Rattus norvegicus: one gene and its partners. The protein of the gene in region 1 interacts with the protein of each later gene in a biochemical or structural test. Links are inferred from orthologs where the notes say so. Each region holds a gene or a part of one and is shown in the gene's direction. Other genes may lie near its edges.

The links.
Region 2: the proteins of Ep300 (region 1) and Irf3 form a complex in vitro, tested with the Homo sapiens proteins (3 studies listed by BioGRID, with this or other methods). The link is inferred for Rattus norvegicus from reciprocal best matches to the Homo sapiens genes EP300 and IRF3.
Region 3: the proteins of Ep300 (region 1) and Ets2 form a complex in vitro, tested with the Homo sapiens proteins (2 studies listed by BioGRID, with this or other methods). The link is inferred for Rattus norvegicus from reciprocal best matches to the Homo sapiens genes EP300 and ETS2.
Region 4: the proteins of Ep300 (region 1) and Smad3 form a complex in vitro, tested with the Homo sapiens proteins (5 studies listed by BioGRID). The link is inferred for Rattus norvegicus from reciprocal best matches to the Homo sapiens genes EP300 and SMAD3.
Region 5: of the proteins of Ep300 (region 1) and Foxo1, one has a biochemical effect on the other in vitro, tested with the Homo sapiens proteins (3 studies listed by BioGRID, with this or other methods). The link is inferred for Rattus norvegicus from reciprocal best matches to the Homo sapiens genes EP300 and FOXO1.
Region 6: the proteins of Ep300 (region 1) and Rel form a complex in vitro, tested with the Homo sapiens proteins (3 studies listed by BioGRID). The link is inferred for Rattus norvegicus from reciprocal best matches to the Homo sapiens genes EP300 and REL.
Region 7: the proteins of Ep300 (region 1) and Maml1 form a complex in vitro, tested with the Homo sapiens proteins (2 studies listed by BioGRID). The link is inferred for Rattus norvegicus from reciprocal best matches to the Homo sapiens genes EP300 and MAML1.

The regions. Positions count from the first base shown.
Region 1 is NC_086025.1:115,050,357-115,053,856, forward strand, and holds part of Ep300 (histone acetyltransferase p300), read left to right. Parts: intron 1-143; coding exon 144-308; intron 309-1,901; coding exon 1,902-2,063; intron 2,064-3,500. UniProt on the Homo sapiens protein: Functions as a histone acetyltransferase and regulates transcription via chromatin remodeling. Acetylates all four core histones in nucleosomes. Histone acetylation gives an epigenetic tag for transcriptional activation.
Region 2 is NC_086019.1:104,615,142-104,619,407, forward strand, and holds the start of Irf3 (interferon regulatory factor 3), read left to right. Parts: upstream 1-1,466; 5' UTR 1,467-1,568; intron 1,569-1,870; exon of another isoform or gene 1,871-1,908; coding exon of another isoform or gene 1,909-2,009; intron 2,010-2,244; exon of another isoform or gene 2,245-2,297; coding exon of another isoform or gene 2,298-2,331; coding exon 2,332-2,496; intron 2,497-3,655; coding exon 3,656-3,827; intron 3,828-3,918; coding exon 3,919-3,992; intron 3,993-4,143; coding exon 4,144-4,266. Other genes in the region: Bcl2l12 (bcl-2-like protein 12), read right to left, coding at 116-258, 443-549.
Region 3 is NC_086029.1:48,489,788-48,493,856, forward strand, and holds the start of Ets2 (protein C-ets-2), read left to right. Parts: upstream 1-1,269; 5' UTR 1,270-1,494; intron 1,495-1,523; exon of another isoform or gene 1,524-1,881; coding exon of another isoform or gene 1,882-1,953; intron 1,954-4,069. UniProt on the Homo sapiens protein: Transcription factor activating transcription. Binds specifically the DNA GGAA/T core motif (Ets-binding site or EBS) in gene promoters and stimulates transcription.
Region 4 is NC_086026.1:73,041,825-73,045,324, reverse strand, and holds part of Smad3 (mothers against decapentaplegic homolog 3), read left to right. Parts: intron 1-2,417; coding exon 2,418-2,611; intron 2,612-2,734; coding exon 2,735-2,866; intron 2,867-3,225; exon of another isoform or gene 3,226-3,500. UniProt on the Homo sapiens protein: Receptor-regulated SMAD (R-SMAD) that is an intracellular signal transducer and transcriptional modulator activated by TGF-beta (transforming growth factor) and activin type 1 receptor kinases.
Region 5 is NC_086020.1:138,461,492-138,465,773, forward strand, and holds the start of Foxo1 (forkhead box protein O1), read left to right. Parts: upstream 1-1,482; 5' UTR 1,483-1,587; coding exon 1,588-2,199; intron 2,200-4,282. UniProt on the Homo sapiens protein: Transcription factor that is the main target of insulin signaling and regulates metabolic homeostasis in response to oxidative stress.
Region 6 is NC_086032.1:101,919,139-101,923,317, reverse strand, and holds the start of Rel (proto-oncogene c-Rel), read left to right. Parts: upstream 1-1,379; 5' UTR 1,380-1,647; coding exon 1,648-1,657; intron 1,658-4,179. UniProt on the Homo sapiens protein: Proto-oncogene that may play a role in differentiation and lymphopoiesis.
Region 7 is NC_086028.1:35,121,301-35,125,227, reverse strand, and holds the start of Maml1 (mastermind-like protein 1), read left to right. Parts: upstream 1-1,127; 5' UTR 1,128-1,383; coding exon 1,384-1,719; intron 1,720-3,927. UniProt on the Homo sapiens protein: Acts as a transcriptional coactivator for NOTCH proteins. Has been shown to amplify NOTCH-induced transcription of HES1. Enhances phosphorylation and proteolytic turnover of the NOTCH intracellular domain in the nucleus through interaction with CDK8.

The DNA.
Region 1 (3,500 bases):
CCGGCCAGTCTTGTCTACATAGTAAGTTCCACGATAGCCAGAGCTACACAGAAAACCTTGTTTCAAAAAGTAAATAAAATTTTTAGAAAGAAAGCATAGAAATTCCTAATATTTACATAGGCTTTTTTTTTTTTTTTAAACAGGATATTTTAAAGCAAGCTACTGAAGATCGATTAACAAGTGCAAAGGAATTACCTTACTTTGAAGGTGACTTCTGGCCCAATGTTCTGGAAGAAAGCATCAAGGAACTTGAACAGGAAGAGGAAGAGAGGAAACGGGAAGAAAACACCAGCAACGAGAGTACCGATGTAAGAACTTTGTCTGCAGTGTCTGTCTTGACATCTCATTGATAATAGAGAAAGGAGTTTACACTTTGATTTGGTGTAAAAGGGCAATTTAAATTCTGCTAGCTATAATGTGTTTCAATCACAGCCCTTAGGGCCTCATAATGCAAGGTCAACCTTGGCTGCATAGCAGGCAAATTCTCAGAACTAAGGGTTTCTCTGTTTGTAAGTAGTATCCTGACATTGAGTAATAAAAGTTCCTGGAGAACCATACCAAAAAATGGATCTAATAGACCAAATTATGGCTGCTTACAGGCTTTGCTGACTTCATATGCTCTCTAGTGTATTTCCCAGAAGTGCTGGCAATCACAGGCAGGCACAAGCCTAGATCAGTTAATGAGACTCCTTCATAGTAGCCTGATCAGTTATTGACTGGAGCACACTTAGACTGTTTTCTAGATTTCAACTTAATAAAGTCTGGTTAAGCGGGTTACACACACCTTTTTATTTCGGCACTCAGGAAGCAGAAGTAGGCAGATGTGTGTGAGTTCCAAGGCCAGACTTCTGTATAGTGAATAAAAAGACTCAGGCACTTGACCACCAAACAAAGAATTTACTCCCTGAACCCACATGGTTGAAGCAGAGAACCAGTTTCCATAAGCTGTCCTTTGACGTCTACAGGCCTGTGCCATGATGTGCATACATACAAGGGTCCTAGATGAATAAGTTTGGGCTCCAGCACCAAAAAAAAAAGAGTGAAAGGTTTTAAAGCAAGTGTGGCAGCACCCATCCCTAATCTCATCCCCCCCTCCCCCTATTTACCAGAATGCTTTAACTTTTGGTTAACTTCATGACTGAGTAGGTCCTATGTGGCAGCTTGCTGATGTCCCTCTTTCTTGGTTGCCAACTATGGTGCCCCTCACTCAAGTCTTATCTCTAATCTGGACACGTGAGCCAATGGCTTCTGCAAACTGGGGCTTTTCTGTCTGTTTTTTCTTGTAGTTTTTTGTTCTTTTCTTCTTGTTTCTTTTCTAGGGACAGTTTCTCTGTGTAGTCCTGGCTATCCTGGAAATCATTCTATAGACCAGGCTTGCCTCAAACTCAGAAATCTCTGCCCCTTGAGTGCTGGGATTAAATTCATGAGCCACCACTTCCAAGCAAATTGAGGCTTTTTCTGAAAAAGTTTACAAGCTTTATTCTACATAATGAAACTTGGGGTCTTTGGGAAGCAATTTAGAAAGGCAACTTTGTGTACTCCAAAGTTATTGCTGTTATTCAAGGAGAACCCAGTTCAACTGTGTTCCCTATACCCACAGGAAAAAGGTCATAGCTAACTCCAGTTTGGAATCAGAGAGCCTCAAAAAGACCTATGCACAGATGGCATACATTCATCAATTGTACACACACACACACACACACACACACACACACACACACACACACACAAAGAATAGTTAAGCATTTGCTTGTACGTTTAAAAAAAGGAGAGAAACGTTAAAAGGAAATAGTGGGTGATAAGCAGCTACAGAAATAACAACAACAACAAAAATTATCAGCCCAGAGTCATTTTCAGATCTGTCTTAACAATCTTCATTTCTCCTTTGTGCTGCCCTACAGGTAACAAAAGGCGATAGCAAAAATGCTAAGAAGAAGAATAACAAGAAGACCAGCAAAAACAAGAGCAGCCTGAGCAGGGGCAACAAGAAGAAGCCTGGCGTGCCCAACGTGTCTAATGACCTTTCTCAGAAACTGTACGCCACCATGGAAAAGCATAAAGAGGTGAGTGAGGCGCTGCAGGGTAGAAGGCTGTGGAGGGTGGGCTCCTAAGCTGCTCACCCCAGCCGACAGGGTAAGAACTCACTCCAGGTTGCTGGAAATTTGGAGGGAAGAAATGGTTTGACTGGAGGAGGGTTGACTAGGATGAAAAGAGTATGCATATAGAGTTTGCTTGTGAGAAAATGGTGTGACTATGAGGCTGTTATAAATTTGCATTGTGTCTCAAAGTGTAAGCATGGTTTGTCTAATCCTAGTGATAGATTTTCAAAAATTCTGACTTTTTTAAGACAGGGTCCTATTTTGTAACTCCCGTATGGCCTAGAATTCATAGAGATCTACCTGCTTCTATCTTTCTAGTTCTGAGAGTAAAGGCATGTGCCAACATTTTTACAGATTTACTCTTCAAATGTTTCATGTTACTTAGAGCCCCACTATTATTTTGTAATAGTGCTTAATGTTAGATTTAAGACGGACTCAGACATTCATAATCATATTCCCATATTTAAACCCCCTTCTAAATTAAAGCTTGATTACAGAGCTGCTCACATGGCTGTACTTACTTACTGAGTTTTATGTGAATGGGTGCTCTGCTTCCGTGCCAGAAGAGGACACCAAGTCCTCTGCAGCTGGGGTAGAAGATGGCCACCACGAAGGCATTGGGACTGGAACTTGGGTCCTCTGCGAAAGCAACTTGTGACAAAAAGCAATGCCTAACCCCACTGAGCCACTGTTCTCTGCCCCTTAACATGCTTTTCTAAGAGGTTTGGAAATGGAAGGAATAATTTTTTGTTTCTGAGATCATTTTATAACGTGGCTGGTCTCCATTCACTGTATAGCTGAGGACAGTCTTAGAGGCCTGGTCTAATCATACCTAGTACCAGGCTCCTGAGCTCAGGTGCTTCCCCAGGCCATGTATTTTTTTCTTATCACAGTTCAACTCTATTCTAAGATGAAGTCACAAGCAGTTTCTTATTTTATGTTTGTTTATTTTGCTTTTCAAGATGTGGTTTCTCTGTGTAGCAGCCCTAGTTATCACTTTGTACACTCTCAGAGATGCCTCTGCCTCCCAAGTACTAGGATTAAAGGCATCATCCCCCATGTGGGCCCAGCTTCATAAAGCAATTTCTTAAGCAGCAGTTAAGTTGTGAGAAGACTGATCACTTAATTGTTGACACTAGAAAAGACAGAATGGTGAGGAAGTGCAAATACTCAAACCATTTCCCCATGTGCTCCTTCCTCTGCCTACTCCTAACAAAATGATAACAGTCAAAGCTAGATAGATGCCTAATGCAGTCCTGTCAGCCATGCCCCTGGCATGGAAGTCAAGTCCTCCTGTATTTCTAGTGGGTATCACTGTCAGAAAACATTCCTAATAGCCCAATGGCCTCACTCAATTTTGAAAGTATAGTACTGATTGAAATGCTAATGGTGGGGGTTGGG
Region 2 (4,266 bases), on another chromosome or scaffold:
TATGGCCGGCACTGAAGCTGAGCAGTGTTGACTTTATAATGGGTACTGTCTGGATTCTTCAGGACCAAGGCTGCTAGCCTCCAAATTTCACAAGTGATCTGAAGAAATCTCTTACCAGGCTCTGAACCATAGCAGGGACGGAGGGGAAGGAAGCAGGGCCTAGAGGACTCAGGGGGAGGAGCTTCTCGCCCCAGGGGACAAGGGAGGCATCTTCGGAGTCGGCTCAGGAAATCTGTTGTCTCTTCTTGGGCAGGGCTCCTAGGGGCAAGAACCTCAGAGTTATCCCAGAGGGTTCTGAGCAAACAATCCCTTCGTCCTCTCGTGGAAGATTCTTGAAGCTTGGGACAGACATATGGGGTTAGGTATGAAGGGAGTAGACCACTAGACTCAGGAAGATCTTCTGATCAAAGGCTGGCCCTGGGGGAGTGGAATAGTATCTCACCTGGGTGGAGTTGGGACAGGGGACCCAGCAGTTTCACCGCGCCTAAGGAAGGCAGTCAGAACCTTCAGTGTGTCCTCTTGGAGACCCAACTCTTCAGAGCCGGCCATGGAGGTACCTGAAGCAGAAGACAGAGAATGTACCCAAATGGAGTGATAACTCAAACTTCATTCAATCACTGAATGAAGAGGACACCTTACTCCAAGGAAAAGGTGGCTTAAGGGCCAGTGGGGCAGTTGATTCCGTTGAGGAGAAAGGGCCTGAATTATTGAATCTAAGAAAGGACGTAGGGGTTGGGGATTTAGCTCAGTGGTAGAGCGCTTGCCTAGCAAGCGCAAGGCCCTGGGTTCGGTCCCCAGCTCCGAAAAAAAAGAAAAAAAAAAAGAAAGAAAGAAAGAAAGGACGTAACTGAGTGCTTGGACTCTTACATGCAGGAGCAGGAAGGGAGCCCTGAGTGCTGAAGGAGTCTCGAAGACCCTAGAGAATAGGGAACTACTAATCCTAGTACGCTTTGCGGCAAACGCTAGCCGGGTTTCCCCTCTTTTTCACCGAGCAGCCTGCTGGGAGATGTAGTTCCAATGACCTCTGGCGGGCACCAGGAGACCTCCGTGCTTGGAAGTCAGAGAGACAGGACTGGCTGTGACCTCTCCTGCAACCTAGCTCCCTCCCTGGTACCCCGCTCACCTGGATCGGGGTTCTGCCTCAGTCGTACTGGCGCACACACGCTTTCACTCAATTTCTACAAACTTTACTTCCGAAGTTCAACTTTCCCGCGCCTGCGCACTGGGCCGACACGGTAACCGCCCCAACGTCGAGGGGGCGGAGCGCTGTGTTGCATCATTTGCATATGGCGTTCCCAGCATGCCTGTAGGCGGAAGGCCAAAAAAGGGCATTGAGGGAGTTAGGCCGGTTCAGTCGGAGTGTGCTCCTAGGTTTTCTGACTTTTCTTAAAGTAAATGATGAGAAATTTTTTTTTTATCTCAAAATACCATTAGAAAGGAAAGTCCCAACGCTCGGAAGCTTAGTTGACAAAGAAGGGGGTTGCGTGGCTGCGAGTCTCAACTACTGTTTGGGAGCCCCAAAACCAGTGCTGACACCCGCGCCCCACGAGCGCGCAATTCCTCCCCTGGTAGGTAACGCGGAAGAACCGGGAGGGTGGCGGCCTCAGGGCACAGGAGCTCGGCTACCGAAAACCAGAATGGTTACGCGTTGTAGACGGAAGCCTGCAGTCTCAGCATCCAGACTGGAGGCAGTAAAGATTGCTGCAAGTTCGAGGCCAGTGAGCTCCAGGCCAGGCTGAACCACAGAATGAGCTCCAAACCAGCATGGGTTAAGCGAGTTGAAGACCAGCCTGAGCTACTGAATAAGTTTGAGGGTAGCTTGGGTTACAGAGTGCATTCGAGGCCAGCCTGGGCCACACAGTGAGTTGAAGACCAATCATGGCTACATAGCAAGTTCGAGGACAGCCTATGCTCCATACTAAGACCCTGTCTCAAAACATCCATAAAAACAATGTAGAAAAGACAAAGCAGAAGAAGCGACAGCAGCTGGGAGAAGACTCTGGAAATGAGTAAGGGTTTTCTGCAAGGGTGAGGTGGGTGTGAGAACAGTCATGATTCTTTAAAGACAGGGAAAGAGGACTCCACCCTGGAAATGGGGTACTTGCTTTGAGTAATAGGGGTTTACATTTAGAAAAGGGAAAGAACCTATGGAAAACTGTGGGGTAGGATAGGCGGTCCCGTTGGAATTGGAAAGGTGGGAAGGAGTTTCCCGTTTGTACACAGGAAAACAGGGTGAAGGAAGGCCTGTGCTGTATCGGGTCGGAGAGGTTTGAGTGCATTTGCCCCTTGACATACAGGCTCAGGAACTGCACTGTATGCGCAGGCTGGATCATGGGAACCCCGAAACCGCTGATTTTGCCTTGGCTGGTGTCTCAGCTGGACCTGGGACAGCTGAAAGGTGTGGCCTGGCTGGACGAGAGCCGTACAAAGTTCAGGATCCCATGGAAGCATGGCTTACGACAGGACGCACAGATGGCTGACTTTGGCATCTTCCAGGTGCTGGGGGGGAGGGGGCGGGGGGGGGCGTTGAGACTTCAGAGGCATTTATGGGCGTGACTAGACAGGGCTGGGTCTTGCTAATTAGGTGGGATAGACTTGGAGGGACAGCCCGGAATTGATTGGCAGATTCCAGGAATAGAATTCTGAAAGCCAGGTTGTGTCTCTAAAAAACTGTTCTGGAGCAATGGTTCTCAATCTGTGGGACGCAACCCCTTTGGGGGTTGAACGGGCCTTTCATTGGAAAACAGATATTCACATTAAGATTTATAACAGCTGGGGTTGGGATTTAGCTCAGTGGTAGAGCGCTTGCCTAGCAGGAGCAAGGCCCTAGCAAGGCCCTGGGTTCGGTCCCCAGCTCCGGAAAAAAAAAAAAAAAAAAAAGATTTATAACAGCAAAATTACAGTTTTGAAGTAGCAATGAAAAAAATTTGGGGCTGGGGACTCACTACATCATGAGGATCTGTATTCGGATAGTTGAGAACAGCTCTTTTATTAGAGGATGGGAAATCTCGGGGGGGGGGTGGGCTCTTGATTTTAGATCCCTTAAATCTTAAGAATTGGAACAGCCCTCAGGATGGGGTTATTAGCTACCAGATCAGCATGGTAGTAACAGAATGTGGGGTGAGGTACCAAGTAGGTCCTAGAATACTGGCTTAAAAAACAAAAGGCTTGGGTTGGAGAGATGGCTCAGCGGTTGGGAGCACTGACTGCTCTTCCAGAGGTCCTGAGTTCAGATCCCAGCAACCACATGGTGTCTCACAACCATCTGTAATGAGATCTGATGCCCTTTTCTGGCACATCTGAGGACAGCTACGTGTACTCGTCTATAATAAATAAACCTAAAAAAAAAAAACAAACCAAAATCAAAAGGCTTGAAGGTGGATGTGTGGCATACGTTTGTAATCCCAGCACTCTGGAAGTGGCAGCTAGAGGGTCGAAACTTGGAGCCTACCTTTGTTATAATGTGTGAGACCCTGTCTCATATTCAAAAATATTTTTCTAAAGTGTGGAAAATATAGATAAGGATGAGGTCGGGACAGAAGTCCTAGGGGCTCTATGAATGTGAGAACTTAGGTCAGGAACCAGAAATGTATGGAATATGGTGGGAGGTGTCTAAGTAGTCTTCCCTACTGTCCTGGAATCACTGATGTATCAGGCCTGGGCGGAAGCCAGTGGTGCCTACACCCCAGGGAAGGATAAGCCAGACCTGTCAACCTGGAAGAGGAATTTCCGGTCAGCCCTGAACCGGAAAGAAGTGTTGCGATTAGCTGAGGACCGGAGCAAGGACCCTTTTGACCCTCATAAAGTGTATGAGTTTGTGACTCCAGGTGTGTGTAACAAGGCTGGCTTGGGGGTCACAGGAACCGTGGGGTCTGGAAGATCTCTGCCACTTACTCTGCTCACTTCCACTCTGGACAGGAGGAGCAAGGGACTTTGTACATCTGGACACCTCCCCTGACACCAATGGCAAAAGCAGTCTGTCTGATCACCAGGTGAGGAGACACTAGTCTTGTGCCCAGCCTTGCCCCATCCATTAGGCCTCACCTTCTTCCCACCCCAGCCCTTACCCCTGGACCTCCATTCCCACCAATCTGCTACCCTCTGGCTCAGCTGAAGCTGTTGACTAGCTCCTTCCTCCTCCAGGAAGACCTCTTGGAATTACTCGATCACATGGCCTTGGGACCCCTCCCAGATGAGGGGTCCTCAGACCTGCCTATTGCTTCTGATCCTTCTCAACCACCACTAAGCCCCATTGTAAACAACTTC
Region 3 (4,069 bases), on another chromosome or scaffold:
AGACACACTCCTTCAGATAAGTCCGTACCTTCTGCTGGTTTTTTTTTCTTTCCTTCTTTAAGTTAGCATATGCCGCTCCATGTCTCCATGGAAACGGAACAGGGAATCTGTCTTCTATTTAGGGAGTTCCTCCTTGACCTGGGTTCTCTGGTCCAGACCTGAATTCACACGGAGAAGCCCTGAGGAAATATCAATCCCCTGTGAACCTAGCTGTTTTAGCTTAGTGGATTGGGCCTTGACTCCTGCAAAGGTGATACACTAGAGAGAAGTATCAAATGCAACAGTATCTTGATTGGCAACAACTTCAGAAGGGGAGTTGCCATGGAAACCAGGAACCCTGAGTACAAGGGAAGGTGGGACCTTCTACTCCCTTCCCAGCAAGTCTGTCCTTGTACCAATCGTCGGTCCCGCGGCCTTGACTAAGCCTGCCATTTGCAATTTCCTACAAATCTCGGGTATCGATCTAAACTCAAGGAGGAACGCAATAATATTGAACGTACACCTATGCCTCCGGACCAATCACATAGGTTTCCAATCATGGACTCGGCGCCTTCTCACCAAAAAGGAAACCACCCTCTGGCTGGTGTTTTGACCATGAGTTTGGGAGAGTCACGTTGGACTTGGCATGTTGTTGACCTGGCAGACCATGTTAAGTAAAACACCAGTGCTTTGAAGCATTAGTAAGACTAATAATAGATGGCGCCGGAGTGCTCAGCTAGGTTGGCGCTAAGACTCGGCTCAGCCCTAGGGGGCGCTATCCACACCTAGGTAGTAGGAGGGGCCTCCCAAGACTCAAGCGGCTGCGCCACGTTCTGCTCTTCCACTCGCGACTCCGCCACCCGCCCACTTTGTGCCTCCCTAACCCCACGTAAGAGTCTTTTCACGTCGGAGGGACCAGAAATCAGGACCCACACGTAGCTCCAAACACAGGACCGGTTCTACCGCAGAAGCCTAACCACTCAATCCAAGTGCCACCAGGGCCCCCAGCTTGGACCTGCAGACGGCCGTGCGCCAGGGAGACGCGGGCGGACACGGCCCTGCCCTTCTAGCTGAACCTCCTGGGCACAAGGCCCAAGCTGGGCCTTAGGAGCAGGGGCCAGCAGGCAGGCGACAGCCGGCTGCAGGGGCGCAGGGAAGGGCCCGGGAGCAGCGTGGATCCGCCGCTGCGGGAGCACACTCTCCTCCCACGCCGGCCTCGCGCTTGCTCCTCCTCCGCGCTCCCTCCGTCACCCCTGCTGTCCCCTCCCCCGGTCCCCTCCGGCCCTCCCCCAGCTCCAGAAGAGCGCGCGGCCAGGGGATCGGGCTGGTTACTTCCTCCACCGCGGTGCTGAGCACGGAGTGGACACCACTAAGGCCCGCCAGTCCCTGCCACCGTCTCCGACCCCGCGCGCCCGTATCGGCCCTACGCCTTCGTCTCGCTGGGCCTTGCCGGCCGGGACCGCCGCGATCTCCTCTCCCCGCCGCCCTCCGGCTGGCCCTGCTTGCTGCGGCGCGGTAAGAGCGGCCCCCGTGCGCGACGTTCCTCGGGAGGGACTCCGCCCGGGGTGGGGTGCAGTGCGGGCGGCCCCTGCTCCCGCCGGTTGATCGCGCGCCCCGGAGCCTCTCCAGCTGGTTCCTAGGCACCCAGTGGCCTCAGCCGGGGATCCGGGAACCGGGCCGGGAGCGGGCAGCCCGCTTTTGTTTTAGGGAAGCCAGTGGTCGCTCTGTGCGGTTCCTGCCTGGGGCGCGGGTCTGTGTTTCTCCAGGGGGCTTGAGACACCTGGAGAGATGGCCGAAGTAGCCCCAGGTTTGGGGTGACTTGAGTGGGAGAGGAGCTAGGCCTGGGAGGATGTGGGGGTGTCCGACGCCTGAAACACCTGGGAAGTTGCGGCTCCCGGGAACATGTCACCTGCTCGGCCAGCTCTCGGTTCCCCTGGACCCTGGGAAGCCAGTACGGGACACGTCCAAGTAGGGGTGCGCGTGGCTGTTCTGCTTTTATTTTCCCCGTAGAACATATGAATGAAGGGGTAACCCGAAGCGTTTGCATATTTGACCTTTTTTTTTGGTTTTAATTTATTATTTAATCTCATAAGACTTGTACTAGCCTGCACTCAATTTCAGGGGAGCCTAAAATAGTAGTTGACTCGCTACTAATTTAGAAAGTAAAGCAGTGTGCAGTCCTGGTTGGAGACAGGAGTCATTTACTGTTGAGAGAGAGACTTACTCCCTGCTGTGAAAGCTCCTGCGCCCTTATCAGTCTGCCCACAACGCCAATCGGGAGATACATCTCCGTGTTAAGCTTTTATTAAAATCTGAGTAATCTTGCAGTACAGTTAATGTGAACACCGCGCATCCCACAGGGAAATAGTCAAACTCTCATATATGGAATTAGTCATTCATCTCTCTAAACTGATCGCTAAGCGAAAAGCAAACCAACCTTCAAAAGGTTTTTTTTTCTTTTATTTTTTTTAACCTAAATTTTACCTAAATACAAACCTATGCTCTTTTATGTAAGTGATTACCTGTTCCAATAAGGATACAGTTATCCGGGAAATTCTTGTTTCAAAACTTAACTATTCTCAGCCATTACATTTCTGCCATTTTCTTCCATTTCTTGTACACCCCCCCCCCAACCAAAGTACCAAAAAGCTCTAAACTTGAAAATTGATTTATCTAGAGTCTTGACTTGTCCCAGGGGTTAGCAAGCACATCCAGTAGGATAAATGGACTTAAATTTGATTAGCCGCGTGTCTGCCTGAAGCCATTTAGTAGAGGGCTTTAATTCTACATGGTTTTTTACAAAACTCATTAAAAGCCAGGCAACAAAGGAACCCTGTTCTGTAGCCAGTAATTACAGCTCTTTATGTGGGAGTTTGAGCCTCCCTTTTCTGCTCCTGTTTGTACACAAAAGGCAGGGGAGCTCTATTCTAGATCTCCAAAGCTATTCTCTGCCTATCTCAGAAGCGAAGAATCACGGTGAAGTCCCCAAGTGTCTGCACATTGGGACCACAGAAAGCGCTATCCGACTGGCCCTGGAGGGAACATGTGGACACCTCTGTCTGTGTCGCTGGTTTTCTGAGGGTGGCTTGTGTTTAATCAACAGGTTACAGGGCTGACTTCATCTAAGTAGGCGACCTGAAGTTCTCAGTTGGCGGGCATTTCCTAGGGCTGAAGTGTGACAGAAAGGCCTGGTTTAATCATAATTGCACACTCTGCTTCAGTGGGCTGTGGTAGGCAAAGCCCACTCAGCCATGGCTAGGATTTAAGGCCCTACTGATCTGAGGTGAACCTCCATAGACACCCCCACAGGAATGTGACCCGGGCCAGTGACTCAGTATCATCGGGCCTCAGTTGTCTCGGAATAAGGTGATTTTCCTTTTGGAACCCGCGCTCAGGAGGATTGAGGACGTGGGACTTGGTCTTCCCATCAGGCATTCTGTCTAGCCTTCATCTGTGAGGAATATTGAACATTCAGTGAGTGTAGCTAAATAATATACCAAGGGAGAGCCTGAACAAATATGCCTTCTCTGGAGACTGCACAGGCCCTGCTGTGACCTTACCGGGAAGGTGGCTCCTTCAATTCGTCTCAGCTTTTCTGGACTATTCTAACCCAAATCTGCAATCAGAAGCCTCCCCCAGGATTCCTTTCTGCTCTCGATGCCTTCTATCAAGGTGTGAGTGTGCACATGTGTGCACTCACTCGCACATGCTGCACATGTCGGTATAGGCATGTGACTAGTATGTGTTAGTAGGGAATTGTTAAGCCATCTGCCATTGGCCATAATGTTGACTATAAAAAGACACAAGAAAGGGGAATCAAAGGAAGTTTAAGTAATTCTTTGAGGCTATGCTATCTGCTGCCTCTAGTGAGTTCTATCAATTGCATGCTAATTTTAGTGACAGTGTGTGGTTAGCAGGTGGGTGCGCATGAAGGAGAGCGGAGGGTGGGGGCGGGTGGGGGTGGGGCTGAGGTTTGCACACTCCACACCATGGAGCTATTGAAGGCTCCAGTTCTGTAGCTCAGAGCCTGGAAGACAGGAGCTGCCGTAGAGTGATGGTGTGTGGAAATGAGGTTCGGTGACTGGGTCCG
Region 4 (3,500 bases), on another chromosome or scaffold:
ACTGAGGTCTTCTGTAAGAATGGCAAGTGCTTTTAACTGCTGAGACATCTCTCCTGTCCCTCTGTGTAGTTTTAACCCACACTTTTCTTACTAGTAACGACATAGAACATCTTGGCCATCTTTAAGTGTTTTAAATAGCATTTGATCAAGAGATTCACAGTTGCTTTTGGCATTCTTTAGCCTAGAAAGCACCTCTGTGAGATGTGTTCTAGTGTTTTCTTGTCTGGCTTGCCCCCTCTCTTTTTGTTCAAGCTTTCTACCGATCAGAAGTCTCTATCCTGAGTTCCAGTATATCGATACATCAACTTTGACTTTTAACGGATAGTGCTTTTGCTGCGGCAGCTGAGAAATCACTGTCTGGTCACAGAGCCCCTCGCCGGTTTGAGTTTTGTTCTTTGACCCTCAGTTTCCACAGAGATGTAAGATGCAGGTTGAAGTTCGTTTTTCTTAGTGTGGATCTCCAGGAGGCTCAGCCTTCCCAGCTGGTGCGTCTTTGGACCTTTGATACAAGTCAATGTTCCATGCACATGTGACTGTTGACTACCTTTGTTGGGTCCCATTGGTGTGCTGGTCAGTTTGGAGGACTTTGGTACATGTTCGCATGCCTGTGACAGCCAGAAGTCAGCCTTGGCTGCTGTTCCTCAGGTGCTGTCCACTTTGTATCCTTTGGGACAGGGTCTCATTGGCCTTGGTCTCACCACAGAGGCTAGGCAGAGATCTGACTGTTTCCACCCCCTCAGTGTGCCACCCAAGCCAGCTCTTTTCACTCAGGTTCTGGAGACTGAACTCCTGCTCTTACACTCACAGCGCAGGTACTTTGCTAACTGGGCCGTCTCCTCAGCACTGACGTCTTCACTCTGAAAGCAAGAGAATGCTCTTCCCACTGCCCAGGCCGGAGGGGCTCTCCAGCTCCACTCTTCCTCACTGCTGGTGTGGCCCTTCTCTGGCCACTTCTCTCTTGTCCCTCTCTTTCCCATCAGAGAGGTGGCCGCAGCAATCAGCTAACCTTGTGTTAGGGCTTCTGTCATATCCTGAAGAGGCAGTGTGGCCATCTCCCTTATCTTCCGGGGATTCGGTAGCTTTGGGAGAACATGAGGGGAGCTGAAGGATTTTCTGTCTCCGCCTACTACTAACCACTCTCTTGGTCCACTTCTTCAACCCTAGCTCAGCACCCAGCCCCCTTGCCAAAGGCTGGCTTAGAGGATGACAGCAGTCACCAGTAACACTGAGAGGACTCCCCAGTCAGTGCTCTGTAAAGTGCTTTCTGGTAGAGATCAGGTGAGGGGAGACTGTCCCTATCTTACAGATGGGGCAGTTGAGGGTCCTAGTACCCAGGGTTGCTTGTCAGGAGCAGAGCCACATCTTCGGGTCTTCTGATTTCACATCTGGCTGCCTTCCTTCTGTGCCTCAAGGAATGGTTTCAGGCTGTCCTCTCTTGTTCGGCTCTGTAATTACTGTTTTCAGCTGTAGGGGCTCCTTGGTCTGGGCCTCATGGGAGGGAGGTAATTACATCCTTCCACACACCCTTAGTCAGCAGCTCTCAGTCCCTGTGACCAAGCCTAGCACTGACCTTTGCCCCTCGCCATTCCAAGCCAGTGGCTTGGAGATTGTTTGGACCCTGGTTGGCTCTGGTTGACACATCTGGCCAGCCCCTCCCTTATAAAGTACTCATAAAATCTGTTGAATTCAGACTCATAGGTGCCCTAGGGACAGAGAGACAGCTTGCAATGGCTCTCTGCTAGCTTGGCCCAGCTACTAGAAACATCATGCCCCTGACCTGGGGCTCCAAGGACACCTTCTTGTGGAAAGGGCAGTCCTGCCTTTCTTACTCCATGCTCGCCACCCCACTACCTCCCAACCCGTGGGCCACACGCTGCCAGACTTATCGTAGGGCCTGTTGTTTTCACATGGGTACCTGTACACAGTCCATATAAACATCTCAGAGGCTAGTTACAGCTTTCAGAGAAAAGTGGAACTCCCCACCAGGTCAGCTCTCTTGGCCATTCGTCCTCCTCTTGTAGTCTTGTACCCAGCTTCCACCCTGTCCAGTGGTCACCTCTATAGGGCCAGACTGGTGACATCTACTTGAGCTTATTTCAAGAATGTCCCCTTTCCTTCAGAGCTGCTACTCTGAGAACTCTGAGGCCTACTAGGTGCAGTGCCTCTCTTCCAGCCTAGGAAGCCTCAGCCTTCCTTGGTGGGCCTCCTTGTTTCTTTTGGGAGCTGGGGCCCTGTCCAGCAAGAACAGTTAACAGTGGTGCTCAGATGTCCTGGTCCCCTGTGTCTGGGGGAGAAATGAACTTGAAAGGGTCTGCCAGCAACCTTGAACTCCTCAGGAGCTGCTGGGGGCTAGACTTAGGAGACAGCAATCCAAATCTACTTAACTGACGCCTTCTGTCCCTTCTTTGCCATGACAGGTCACTGGATGGCCGGCTGCAGGTATCCCATCGGAAGGGGCTCCCCCATGTCATCTACTGCCGCTTGTGGCGGTGGCCCGACCTGCACAGCCACCATGAGTTACGGGCCATGGAGCTCTGTGAGTTCGCCTTCAACATGAAGAAGGATGAAGTGTGTGTAAATCCTTACCACTATCAGAGAGTAGAGACACCAGGTACGTGAGAGGGGCCTTGCCCTCCCCCTGCTACCTACTCTGAAGGTTCTCAGAAGCCCTTGGGGGCTGGGACCTCAGTGTGCCAGCACTGATCCGTTTCTGTTGTGTCTCCCTTGGGGACAGTGCTACCTCCAGTGTTGGTGCCACGCCACACCGAGATCCCGGCCGAGTTCCCCCCTCTGGATGACTACAGCCATTCCATCCCCGAGAACACTAACTTCCCCGCTGGCATTGAACCCCAGAGCAATATTCCAGGTAGGCACGGGTGTCAGCAGAGGCAGGCAGGAGGCAGGGGTGGTTCCATGTTCCCCTCTTCTCCATATTGTGGGCATACAGCAGGCTCTTGGGCCCTGATTCTGCCACATCCCTGCCGGGAATGATCAGTGGCTGGAGCTTCCCTAACGATGTTTTTCTTGGCACAGAGGACCCTGTGACCCTTCTGCAGGGCCTCAGTGCCGTCATTTATTTTGAAAGCGGAAATAGCAACACTGTCTCTCTCCTGGCCCTCCCAGCCCATAAGGCTGGCACACCAGCAGGGTCCCTAAAGGGTAGGGGTGGCAGAGGGTGAGGCGAAGCAGCAGGGGGGCTCTGTACATACCTTGAGCTTTGGGCTGGGCAGAGAGGGAGTTGAGGCAGTAAATAGAATGTGCTCCATTGTCAGAGTGCCAGTGTTTCTAGAAGCCCCTCATTTACATGCAAATAATGTGTGAATCACTGCCAAGCACTCTGGGCATCCAGGGAAGCTGTGCTTGGCCACGCTAGGACCAGTCAGGGCAACTTTTGCTTTCGGGGCAATGATCCAGCTGTGTTCCTTTTAGAGTGTTCTAATTTGGATGTGGCTTTCACTCTGGGTTGGTTTACTGGACTGAGGTTGGCTGTGGCCGTGTCT
Region 5 (4,282 bases), on another chromosome or scaffold:
GATATGCATCTTCAATTCTAAGGTGTCCCTAGTCATTAAAAGAAAATGCCACCCATACTTCTTTTTAAAAGAGAAAGCAAATCAGAAAAATCAAGCGAGGAAATATTTTCTTCAACTCTATAAAGGCAAAAAGGATCATTGTCTTTCTACCTCTGGCTCTGCTGAACCTATATTAGATACCCGGGTTTGGGAACTTAAAGAACTGGAGAGACGAGCTGTGCCCCAACAATTGTGGCTTATCTCCTTTTGCGACTTCAACACCTCATCGCTTCCATTCTCAATAAAAAAGAAGTAAGCAACCAGTTAAATTTAATTAGGGGCAATAAAGTGACAAGATTGTCTCTAAACACTCTCCTCTGACCCTTTAGCCACCACTCTGGTCCTCAGGAAAAAGTGAGATTCTCGTAACAGGAAAGAGGTTCCATAGAAGACTTCAGATCTGAGGCGCTACTGGATCTAGGTGCTTGTGCAACAGTCTTCTCCCCGCGCCGCACCTCTTTTGGGTTCAGGATGACTGGAGGCTGGGGGCTGGGGCTGGGGCTGGAGAACCGCGGAGGCTCGGCTTGCAGGTGTGCACAGGTAGGGTGGGAAGGGGAATCCGGAGCCGCAGAGCGACGGATCTTCACCGTAGGATCTTCGTGCCTGGGGCGGCCCGGGCAGATGCCAGCTTAAGAAAACATTTCTCCAAAACAAACCCCACCGACTTCCCGAGAGCTCCGCGAAGACGCGTGGGCGGAGCGGGCTGAGTGGAATCCACGAGGCGCCCCACCGCCCACGTCGCGTCCGGGAGCGCGCAGCGGCTCCGCGCCATCCCGGGAGTCGGGGTCTGGGCACTGCCTGGAGTACTCGATTGCACTCCGTAGTAAACAAAAGTATGGTCGCCGCCTCCACGCCGGTTTGCCTCCTAGCAATCCGAACACTGAGGCGCCAGAGACTCAGAAACACTTGAGAATTACAGAAAATAATAACGGAGATTAGAAAAAAAAAGTGTGTGAGAAAGAAAAACACCCCGCTGCCCCCCACCAACCTACTGCCGCCTCCCGAGGGAAAGGAGCTCCCTCCCAGGCCCGCGTTCATTGGTTGTCTAGGCAGAGACTTGGCGCGTCCATTGGTCGCGCAGCCTGTCAGTCAAGGGCGGGGCGGCGCGCGCGCCGCCGCGGGCGGGGAGCCGCTGCAGATCCCGTAAGACGGGAGGCTGCGGAGTCGCTGCAGTCCCCGCCGCCGCCACATTCAACAGGCAGTAGCGCCGCTGTCGCGCGGCCGCGGGGGAGAGAGAGCGGCCCGCGGCGTCCGCCGGTCTGCCCTTGCGTCCGCGGCCCTGTCATCAGGAGCGTGGTGCCCGAGCTGCCGGGCTCCGCGGCCTGGTCCTTGCCCCGTCCGAGGCACGAACTCGGAGGATCCCCGACACCGGTGACCCAGCGAAGTTAAGTTCTGGGCGCGTCCGTCCGCTGCGCCGCTCCTCGCTCCGGCGTGCGTCCGCCGTCCGCGGCCCCCAATCTCGGAGCGACACTCCGAGCGCCGGCTCCGCGCCCCCGGTGGCCGCGTCTCCTGGTACTCTCTGCTGGTGGGGGAGGGGCGGGGGGCACCATGGCCGAAGCGCCTCAGGTGGTGGAGACCGACCCGGACTTCGAGCCGCTGCCTCGGCAGCGCTCCTGCACCTGGCCGCTGCCCAGGCCGGAGTTTAACCAGTCCAACTCGACCACCTCCAGCCCGGCGCCGTCGGGCAGCACGGCCGCCAACCCCGACGCCACGGCGAGCCTGGCCTCGGCGTCCGCTGTCAGCACCGACTTTATGAGCAACCTGAGCCTGCTAGAAGAGAGCGAGGACTTCGCGCGGGCACCGGGTTGCGTGGCCGTGGCGGCCGCAGCTGCCGCCAGTAGGGGCCTGTGCGGGGACTTCCAGGGCCCGGAGGCGGGCTGCGTGCACTCGGCGCCGCCGCAGCCCCCACCGACCGGGCCGCTGTCGCAGCCCCCACCGGTGCCTCCAGCCGCCGCGGGGCCACTCGCTGGGCAGCCGCGCAAGACCAGTTCGTCGCGCCGCAACGCGTGGGGCAACCTGTCGTACGCCGACCTCATCACCAAGGCCATCGAGAGCTCGGCGGAGAAGAGGCTCACCCTGTCGCAGATCTACGAGTGGATGGTGAAGAGTGTGCCCTACTTCAAGGATAAGGGCGACAGCAACAGCTCGGCGGGCTGGAAGGTGAACGGCCTCGGGGCGGCCCGGGGGGGTGGATTTGTTGGGGCCCGCCGAGGGTCGGCCGTGTGGGTGTTCCGGGCCCGGAAATGATGGGCGCACGGAGAGAGCGGGCGAGAAATGGCAGGTGTGGCGGGGGCTTCCCCGAGACCTGGAGCCAAATTTGGACGAAGTGCAGGCGAGGGAGTTCTAGAGGGACCCCGGGAGGGCTTGTTTGAGAACTTAAGTGAAATGCCAGAGCAGGCTTGGAAGTTGGCTAGTTGTTGGAGTAGAGGGGCTGGCTTCGAAGGGTTCGCCACTTGACACTCCGGACCTGCGAGGGGTCGGGGCGACTCCTCCGCCCACATGCGCACCCACTCTCCCGACCCTTGGCCGACGAGGTTCCCTCGGACCCGACAGCAGAGGTGACGGGAGCACTGGAAACATTCCCCACGCACACGCGGGGCTCCCGCAGCTGATGGGTTAGCTAAACGCGCAGCGTGCTGAGCGCTGTGCGGGCCAGCAGTTGCCGAAGGTTCCCCGAGGCCGGGGCAAATTTGGTTTTTTTATCCAAAGTGGCCTGAATCGAGCGTTCCCACTTGCTGGGTACGGTTTCTGACGCGCGCGCAAGTGGGTGGCTAAGGTTTTTAGGCTCTGGGCAACCTAAAGTTCAAGTGTGACCCTTGGCCGGGGCGGGAGCAGGCGAGGAGGGGAGGGACCGGGTGTACAGGAAGCCAGAACCTTTAAAGGGCCAGTGCCTCCAGGCTGGGAGGCCACACTTTTGCGCTCAGAGAAGGGCTTCCACAATTGGGCTGGCTTGGGGAGGTATGCTTTTAATTGAAAGCCGAGTCGCTGTTGTGTGTGACCAAATTGTGCATGAGTGTTGTGGAGTGATTTCTCTTCCCATAAAGCTTGGGGCTACCCACGACCTGGTAAGGCTGGGAGCTGTGAGTGAGTATTTGGTGGAAGTCTTAAGTGGGGTGCTCACTGGGGAATTGCCAAAGACACCTGCCTTGAAGGAGGATTGCAGACCTATAAATTAGGTGTTTAAGATTGTTGTTTGTTTACCTTTCCAAAGGTGGCAGGGAGAGACTGAGGCGACTCAGTGTGGACTGTGGCATCTCTACCTTAGGGGTTTGGGGGTGGTATAAGGGCCTAGGGCATTTTGGGAGGAGAGAATCTTACCTAGAAGTCCCTCTCGAGGTGTGGCCACCCCTGGCTGACAGTTTCTCAGTCACAGGTGGGACATAGCTTTTCTCCCACCTGGTCTCTGCTGTATAGCAGAACAGAGATTAGCCTTCACTGCATGCTTGTTAGAGCGAGGTGGTTTCACATACTCTGTCATCCCTGTGGTTAAAGTATCTTAAAGGTCAACTTACTCACCTCATAGAAAGTTCTTGCAGAAAGAGCCAGGGGTTGTTTTATTTTTGCCACAGTGTTTTAAAGATATATACAACACCTTATCCTTGTGTAATATTACCAAGTGTTCCAAAAAGCAAATTACCTATTTTTCATATTCTAAGAATTCACAAAATAGTGGTTGTCTTTAAAATCTAATTTTACTTAACATTTGACTTTAAGTACCTGACTGCTTTACTTGTTTATGGGGCTTCAGCTGTTACATAGAACATTTGCCATTGCAAACAAAACATCCAAACAAAAAACCCTAAACCCTCTGGGCACCCAAAGTACAGTGTGTACTTAACACCATTCTTTTATGTTCTTGGAAAGGGACACAACCTACCTGAGTTTGTGGGAGTGCCTTGCTTTAAGGATAAAGGTAATGTTTTGGGGTATTTTCGGACGGCACTGTGAAGATGCTCTTGAGAACTATAACTTGATTTTAGAAATTAGTTCTTAGAAAAATAGGTTATATCATATATCTTTTTAGTTGTTTTGCTCCATTCTTCTGATTTCTTAATGTGATAATGATTTATGTATTAAATTTTTTTTCCTCGTTGGCACCAAGAACAAGCGCGGGCTTTTGGGGGGGGGGGAGGTGAAGACAGACCGAGCCTTTGCTGCCTGAGTGGCCAGTAAGCTTTAGAAGGGGCCACTGCACTTTGAGAGGAGTAGATGCTTGACTGTAAGAGCTGGTCGGTCGGGGTAG
Region 6 (4,179 bases), on another chromosome or scaffold:
TATTTAAATCTTTGAGGCTTGTCTACGGTTGTGTTCAACCTAAAAGACAACTCTATTTATACTCTTTGTGAAGACACTTTGAAATTAGCAGATTTTAATAGTTTCTTTCACTTTGGGGGAGTTCTACAACAGGATTTTTTCTTTTTGGTATGAGAGAATAGTATATATTTTAAATATCCAACGCCCCTCCCCCCACACGCACACTTTGGTGCCCTTTCAAGCGCACGCGTTTGGGCACATGCAGAGTTAAGAGGACAACTTTTGGAAGTTGATTCGGTCCTTCCCTGATCAAACTCAGACTGTCAGGCTTGGTGGCAAGTGGTTTCTCCCTAAGACACCTTGTTGGCCATACAAGTCTATTTCCCGTCCATTACTTATTTTAGTAAGTGACTAGAGAACGCAAGAGGCGGAGCCAGACAAGCCTGAGTTATTTTTGTTGTTGAGACAGTCCACCTGCCTCGGCCTCCCGCGTGCTGGGAGTGCGCTAAACTGGACTGGATAATCTTAAACTTAAATCGTGCGTTTCCTTTCTAGAACTCTAAAGTACCGACAAAGCTCCTCTGCTCCTCCAAACCCCAATCAACTCCAATACTCGTGTATGCAATGAAATGCTAATAGACCAAGAGAACAGGTGCCTATTAGCAAGGGAAGGCGAATAAGATTCCGCCAGACCTGTCAAAGCACTAAAAGTTCGGTCCAGGCCACAGGCTGTGGGTATCTCGGTCAATCTCTGGACGTCGTGTTCATTTATACAGGATGGGGCACCGGCCTCGCAGCGCAGCTGAAAACCTCTGCTAGGTAAAGACGTAATGTAGATATAGAGGGAAAATAAGGCTGCGGGGGTCCCCGTATGCAAATCTGTGCCTTACAGCCGAACGCGGGCGCCCGCGCTTCCGCACTTCCCCTCCAAAGCCACGCCCTCCGGCGCGGGGGCGGAGATTTGCATGTGCGAAATAGGGAATAGGGGGAACCACCGGTCGAAAACCCCGGGCGGGCCTCTGGCGGCCAAGGAGCGAGCCGGCTGCACCGCCCGGCCCGCCTCCGGCCACTCGGCCAGCGTAACGTCACGGACACGCCCCTCGGTTTTAAGGACTCCGGAGGAGGGGGATTTCTCAGAGGCCAGCGGCTTCTCACGCGCGGAGCCGTCGCCGCGCGCCCCCGGGAGCTCCCCGCGCGAGCGCGCAGGCCGCCGTGGCTCTGCCGGGAGCGGAGCGCACTAGCCGGAGCCGGGAAGCGCGCCCGCCGCGAGGCTCCGCCCTCGTCCCGGGTAGGCGGTGGCGCGGGTGACGTAGGCAGCGGGAAATCCCCCCCCGTTCCGCCGGGCGGTCCGCTCCGCCCCCTGCCCCTGCCGCGGCATCCTGGCAGGGCGACTCCAGGACACTAGTGACCGGAGCGCGAAGATTCGGGGGTGGGAAGGTGTGAGCCGCAAACCCAGAGGGGCCGGGAAAGAAGAGGAGGCCCGGGGGTGGTCGGAGGACTGGGGTCGCGGCTGCAGAGGCTGCTCGGCCTCCTCCCTGGCTGGCTGGCTAGTTGGCTGACTGACGGGCTAGCTGGCTGGCTGACTCACTCACTCACTGACTGGCTGGCTGGCTTGCAGCCTCTGGCCCGACGCTGGAAGCTGCGGCGAGCGGCGCGCGAAGCGGAGCCATGGCCTCGAGTGAGTACCGGGGCGAACACCTGCGGGTCAAGGGAAGGAGCTGTCGGGGGCTCGGTTTGGGGTTGGGACGGTCTGCCTTTCAAGTCTTTTCATCTGGCAAATTGTCAGCCGTTTAAAAAGTTACCTGCTCCAGGGTTTGCGTGTGAAATCAAAGCGGCGCAGTGTAATCTGATCTCCTGGTAATAGCCAGAACCTTCGAAATTCCCAGCCGCGTGCTTTTAGGATCACAGGGCGTAATCTCAGTAAAGGCGAGCAGAGAATTCTCGAGTTTAAAGACTGAGTGGGTATGGAGACCCGGTTTTACATTTTTAAACTAAAAAGAGGAACCTCCGGACCTCAGACGAGCTTTCTTTTTTAAGTCCAATCTTGCTAGTTACTGATGGCTCTTGGTACAGAATGTGGTGTGGCTGTAAAAGTCCTCAGTGGCGTTTTAATTCGTTCCAAGCGAAAGCATTACCTCCGCTCCCAGGAACTAAAGGAGATGCTTGTCTAGTTTATAGTGTAGAGACCTCGATCCACTCAACCCCTAACCCCAAACCTGCGCCCACATTCAGCAAGAGGGCGAGAGGATTTTTTTCACTAGGTACTGGTAGGGATGAAAATGTCATCATTTGATGTCAGTGTTTATATGCCACTAGTAAGTATTGGATCGCCTGCTTTGAGGAGGACACATTTATAAGAAACAGTTTACAGGACAGGGGCGTCTAGTATGACAGCCCTGCAATTTGTAAAGCAGGTGCTTCAAGCAGCTGAGGTGGTGGTGGGGTGCTTTCCATCGTGGGAGCTAAAATGACACCTTCAGTCTGTAGCAGGACTCTGACCCTTATCTTCCCAATGACCCACAGTAGAAGGCAGCCGACGTCTGGCAGAGAAGAGGAAGTAGAAAGCTTAGTGACCGCTTTAAGAGTTGAGCAGAGCAATGCCATAACTCCTGCTGTAGGCCGTAAAGGAAACTGGGGTGTTTCACATGACACTTGATTTCAGTTTGTCTGTGGTTTTCATGAGAAAACAAGTGTAGTTTAAAATATTTCAACTTTCTCTTTACCCATTTAAATGAACCCAGACTTTCAGATACTCTAGTAAATTCGTAAATTTAACTCGTGTTCAGATTAAGAAGCACGGAAAGGCTTTAAATGTTTAATTCATTGGTAATCCGAAAGAGATTTTTGTATGAAATGTATAGAGTGGCAAGCTTTGTTAAAACAGCTCTGCCCTTGTCTACTTAACAGGATTTTATTAATAGAGTGCACGACTGTAATGCTTGAAATTTTTCAACAGAAAAATCATTTATTAAAGGACTGTAAGACAGCTATGATTTTAAAAATTAATACGAATGCAGTTTGCCTAAGGACACATATTATGTGCTGTTATAGAAATGATTCCAAAAGTTAAAAGGGGGAACTTTTAAAAGAAATAGCAAGTTTTAAAGATTTAGAAGTTGGGTTGGACTTGCCCAGCTTCTGTGAAGCCCTGGGTTCAGTTCTCAGTACTGTCAGAAAAAGAAAAAAAAAAGAAAAAAAAAACCAACAAACATAGAAACAAATCTGAAACTTGTAGTGTCATTATCTTCTTGCTTTTTGATCTTTTGTCAAGGGTTGCACTAAATGAGACTATTTTAAATTGTAATTTAGACTATAATTTAAATTGTAGTTCGGTTATTTGAAATTACTAGGTGAAAATATAGTTTAAAGGAGCCTAGAAGCCGTATCAGTTATAAAGACCATATAAGAGAAAACTTATGAAATACATTTAAAGTTCCCATTCCATTTGAAGTCATTTAAAAGCATCAAACTGCTTATTTTATCATTATGTAATTTAGACTCTTGTTTTCGATGTAGTACTGAAACCTTGAGAAGTGTTTCTGTCGATCGCCAGGTATTTACGTCCATTCGTTCATTCCTTCTCCGGATGTCATATGTAAATAGGTGTGTGTAATTTAATAGGTGGTGCCTTATAAAGGCAAAGTGTCATAGATCATACTCTCATGAGCAGAATTCTATAAACGTCCTGAGTAGACAGGGTTTTATATGATGATTCTAATTATTGTTCAGGTAAGTTAGCAAATTAAGACCTCCTAGCTAGCCCTTAAGCTGACTTTCATTGCCTTTTAAACAATACTGTCCTTTGATTCTGGCCTTTTGATGAGATTAATCATAGCAGGCAAAGTGCAGAAAAGTGTTCCCGATCAAAGTCTGCATATTTAGGAAGTCATTATCCACGCAGTTCTATTCTATTTAAGTCACTTTGTGTCCATGTTTAAAACTACTCATTATTTCCTAAAAAGAACAAAATGGAGGGAGGTAGCCCCTTACTTTGTGAGGCGAGTACTACAGGTTGCTAATGATTGCCACCGTCTTCGGTGAGATGCACTTTTAAATGTAGAAAGTTTGTATTTAGTCACACTTTTCCTTGAATATGATTCTGCTGTGTCACATAACAGGAAGGAAGAAATTATCTTTGTAGACCTTACTACTCACTAACTTTTTGTGTGTGAATTGCAGTAACCCTCCCCCCCCCCATAA
Region 7 (3,927 bases), on another chromosome or scaffold:
AGTTTAATGGCTGGGTGTACTTAGTAGTAGTGGCACTATATGCATGAGGCCCTGGATTCAGCCTTCCAGCACTGCACACAAAAGTTGTTTACACTTAGCTTGAGTGCTAATTGTAATGTTTGGGTACCGGTAAGAAGCAGTGCTCATTTATCTTTGCAACTCCCTTCACCAAAGGGAGTTTTTATTTTGTTTTTATTTTTACTGCATTTGTATAAAAACATTTTGCTGTTAGCTTTTTTTCTTGTGATTTTAAAAATAAAATTTTCGTGAACTCCAGTAAGAGGTAACATGTTTGACTGGCTAATGAGGTCTTAAGTGCAAAGCCTCCCAATCATCTATGGCAGTTTGCTCCTCAGTAACCATCTAGAATATGTTTTGGTCCTTTCCTGGCTTTTTACCTTCACTCAATTGCTTGCTAGTGACATCTCTGGAACCCAGTGCTTTGGATTGAATTTTGAGTGATTTAGTTTTATAAATCAGTCGGTTTTAAGTGTATGTTCCTGTGGATCTAAATAACTCTAGTTCCCAATAGGAGGCTAAAGACCATTTAGTGCTCTCCACCCCACCCCCCACTTTAAGTAATGAGATATTGCTCACAGTACCTGTCAGTGATTCCTATCTCTACTAGGTCACTGAAGCTCAAAACAATTCTGATCAATTAGTGATTCCTATCTCTACTAGGTCACTGAAGCTCAAAACAATTCTGATCAATTACAGGGCTGTATGTAAGGAATGAGGTCAGAAATGGCTGGCTTCGAAATATTCTGGATAGACTAAAAAGATAGCATTGAGCATCTGAGTCTTAAGGCTCACTTACTTACCCCGCGTTCCTCACGAACCCGGAAGGGACTGCCTTCAAGGGGGCGGTGTTCTGAAAACGTGGCTCCTCTTGGATAGGTTCCTGTCAGTCACAGTACACTCTGCTACGCTGAGCCCGCCTCGGGGCTTCCCTCCTAGCCTGAGTGTTCAGTTTAAATACCCGAAGATTCCTGACGTGCTTTTCCCCCCACGCCCTCCGGCAGCGGGTTTGGTTTGATTGGCTATAGCTCGGGTCCATCAGCAGTGACGCAGAGTTCGCCGGCCCAGGCCCCGCCCTCTTCCGAAAGCCCCGAAAACAATTTTAAGATGGCGGCGGCAGCGGCGCGGAAAACAATGGGGCAGGGGTATAGCGGACAGGCCGAAGCCTGAGGCGGGCGGTGTTCGCTGGCCTGGAATCGGGCCGAGCGGGACCGGAGGAAGACCCGCCACCGCGCCCGAGTCTGCTCCACAGCCCACCCGGACATGGCGCGGCCGTGAGGCGGATCCGGGCCGCCAAAAGCGGAGGAACCCGAAGTGCCAGCCGGCGCCGGGAGGCCCGGGCCGGGCCAGCGCCGCCCGCGGCCCATGGTGCTACCCACCTGCCCCATGGCGGAGTTCGCGCTGCCGCGGCACAGCGCGGTCATGGAGCGCCTCCGCCGACGCATCGAGCTGTGCCGGCGCCACCACAGCACCTGTGAGGCCCGCTACGAGGCTGTGTCTCCCGAGCGCCTGGAGCTCGAACGCCAGCATACCTTTGCCCTGCACCAGCGCTGCATCCAGGCCAAGGCCAAGCGCGCCGGCAAGCACCGGCAGCCGCCCGCCGCCGCCACGGCCCCGGCAGCCGCTCCGGCCCCCGCCCCGGCCCCAGCGGCTGCGCGCCTGGACTCAGCGGACGGCCCGGAGCACGGCCGCCCGGTCGCGGTGAGTAAGGCTGGCGCCTGCCACAGCAGTACTCACTCCCGAAAACGCCTCTTCCGGCTCGGATCGGGCCTCGGGGAAACTTCCCCGAGCGCCCCCATTTCTTAGTCTGGGTCCTGGGAGGAGGCTAACATGGCAGGGCGCTTGTCATCTTCGAGAAGTGGCACTGCGGTGTACTTTTTGGGAAAACGTCCCCGTGAGGACTTTGAGCGAAGTCGGGGCTGGAAAAGCAGGAGAAGGTTAGTTGCTGATAGGCTTTTCTCCCAAACGATTTCCAACTGATGAGAACTTCGACTCGTGTTGGAGTTGCCTAGGATATAGGGCGTTCTTGCACCTTAGGCCTGGCCTCAATTAATCTGCCGATGTTGATTGGATCTTTGCTTCGTGGAGGTTAGTTAAGGCTTTAATGTGGAAATAAGTCTCCCTTCAGTTGACAGTATCCTGCGGCTTCTGAATAGAAAATCGAAAAGCCTTTGGAAGCTTCAGTAAACTGAAGTGCATAAAAGGCATTCTTCCCCCACCCCCTAAAGGGAATTTGCGAACGCGAGATTCCTGCTATACTATTGACAGTTCCAAATTTAACCTACTAAGCTTGTTAAAAACTTCTGATAATATTAATAGTTGTTAACGGAGGAAATGACGTTACTTGTTGGTCAGCTGTGCCCTTTGGGTTTTAGTTGCTAATCCTGAGATTTATTGGTTAGAAGTTTTGACTCCCTGAAACTGATTTATAAACCGGAAACCTGTTTGGAGGGGGAGGGGCAATGGGTGTTACAAAATTCTTGGTAAAGTTTAAAAGTCAAATTTTACAACACTTAAGTTGTTCGGTAATTCTAATTCATGTCTTCATAGTCTCTCACTTGGTCCGTTGTAAAACTCTTTCCTAACTAATGGTTAGTCTTTCAGTCACTTAATACGCTTCCTCTGAAATGTTAGAAACCCTTCTGTGGCTGGAGGGAATTGAGTTAAATCTTTGGTTGGCTTTCGGGACCAGCTTGACCTAGCCTATCTTTCCATGTGCCAAAGAGCTATTGTTTCCCTTCTTCCCCACACTATACCCACTGCAGGGCGAGAAGTCAGAAGAACACTTGGGTTCTGACCCAGCTGCTCGAGTCTTTTCATCCTCACTTTCCCCGCCTGTACATCCAGGGTATGTTGGGCTTCTTACTAGTTTTCTTGAAGGAATCAAATGAGTTTGAGGTTAGGTGTGGTGATTCACGCCCAGAGGCAGGAGGAAAGAAGACATGAGTATGGATGTGAGCGAATTTCTCAAACTAAAAGGCTGCCTGCAGAGTTTTTGTCAGCATTTTCAGGATCCTGCCATCCTTCCTGCCACAGCCCATCTTCTTTTGCAGTTTCTGAAAAACCAGCCCACAGTAGAATCTCCTCTCTCAATACAGTTATGAGATATATGTGTATATATATATATACATAGCTATATATCTATCTGTATGCTTTTTTGTTGTTGTTTGGTTTGCTTTTTTTTTTTTTTTTTAAGACAGTTTCTCTGTGTGCCCTAGCTGTTCTGGAACTCACTCTGTAGACCAGGCTAACCTCAAACTCAGAGATCCACCTGCCTCTGCCTCTGGAGTATTGGGATTAAAGAGGTACACCACCACTGCCCAACTTACGCCCTTTGTTTTTAGCACATAGTCACATATTACTTCAACCATCCTGTGTCTTGACAAGTAGACTGTAAGCTTTGGACCCTGAGAAGGCTTGGGCTAAGTTCCATTCATATTTTTTTTTCCTTTTTTCTTTTTTTTTTTTCGGAGCTGGGGACCAAACCCAGGGCCTTGCGCTTGCTAGGCAAGCGCTCTACCACTGAGCTAAATCCCCAACCCTCCATTCATATTTTAGGCCATCCATATACTTGTTGATAACCAACTTGGGTGTGCTTTACCCAAAATGACTTAACTGAATGAGTCACCTTACTAACCAATCTTTCTTGAAAGATCTCCACCTTCGCCCCAATCCCTTTGGGGGATTGAGCATAAGACATTGTACTTATTGTTTGTCTTAGTTGGGGTGTCTATTGCTATGAGGAGAGACCATGACCACAGCAGTTTGATTGGGGCTGCCTTACAATTCAGAGGTGGGAACCATGGTGGCAATGCAGACAGACATGGTGCTGGAGAGGAGGCTGAAAGTTCTACATCTAGATGTATAGGCAGCAGGAAGAGAGAGTGACACTGGGCCTGGCTTGAGCAT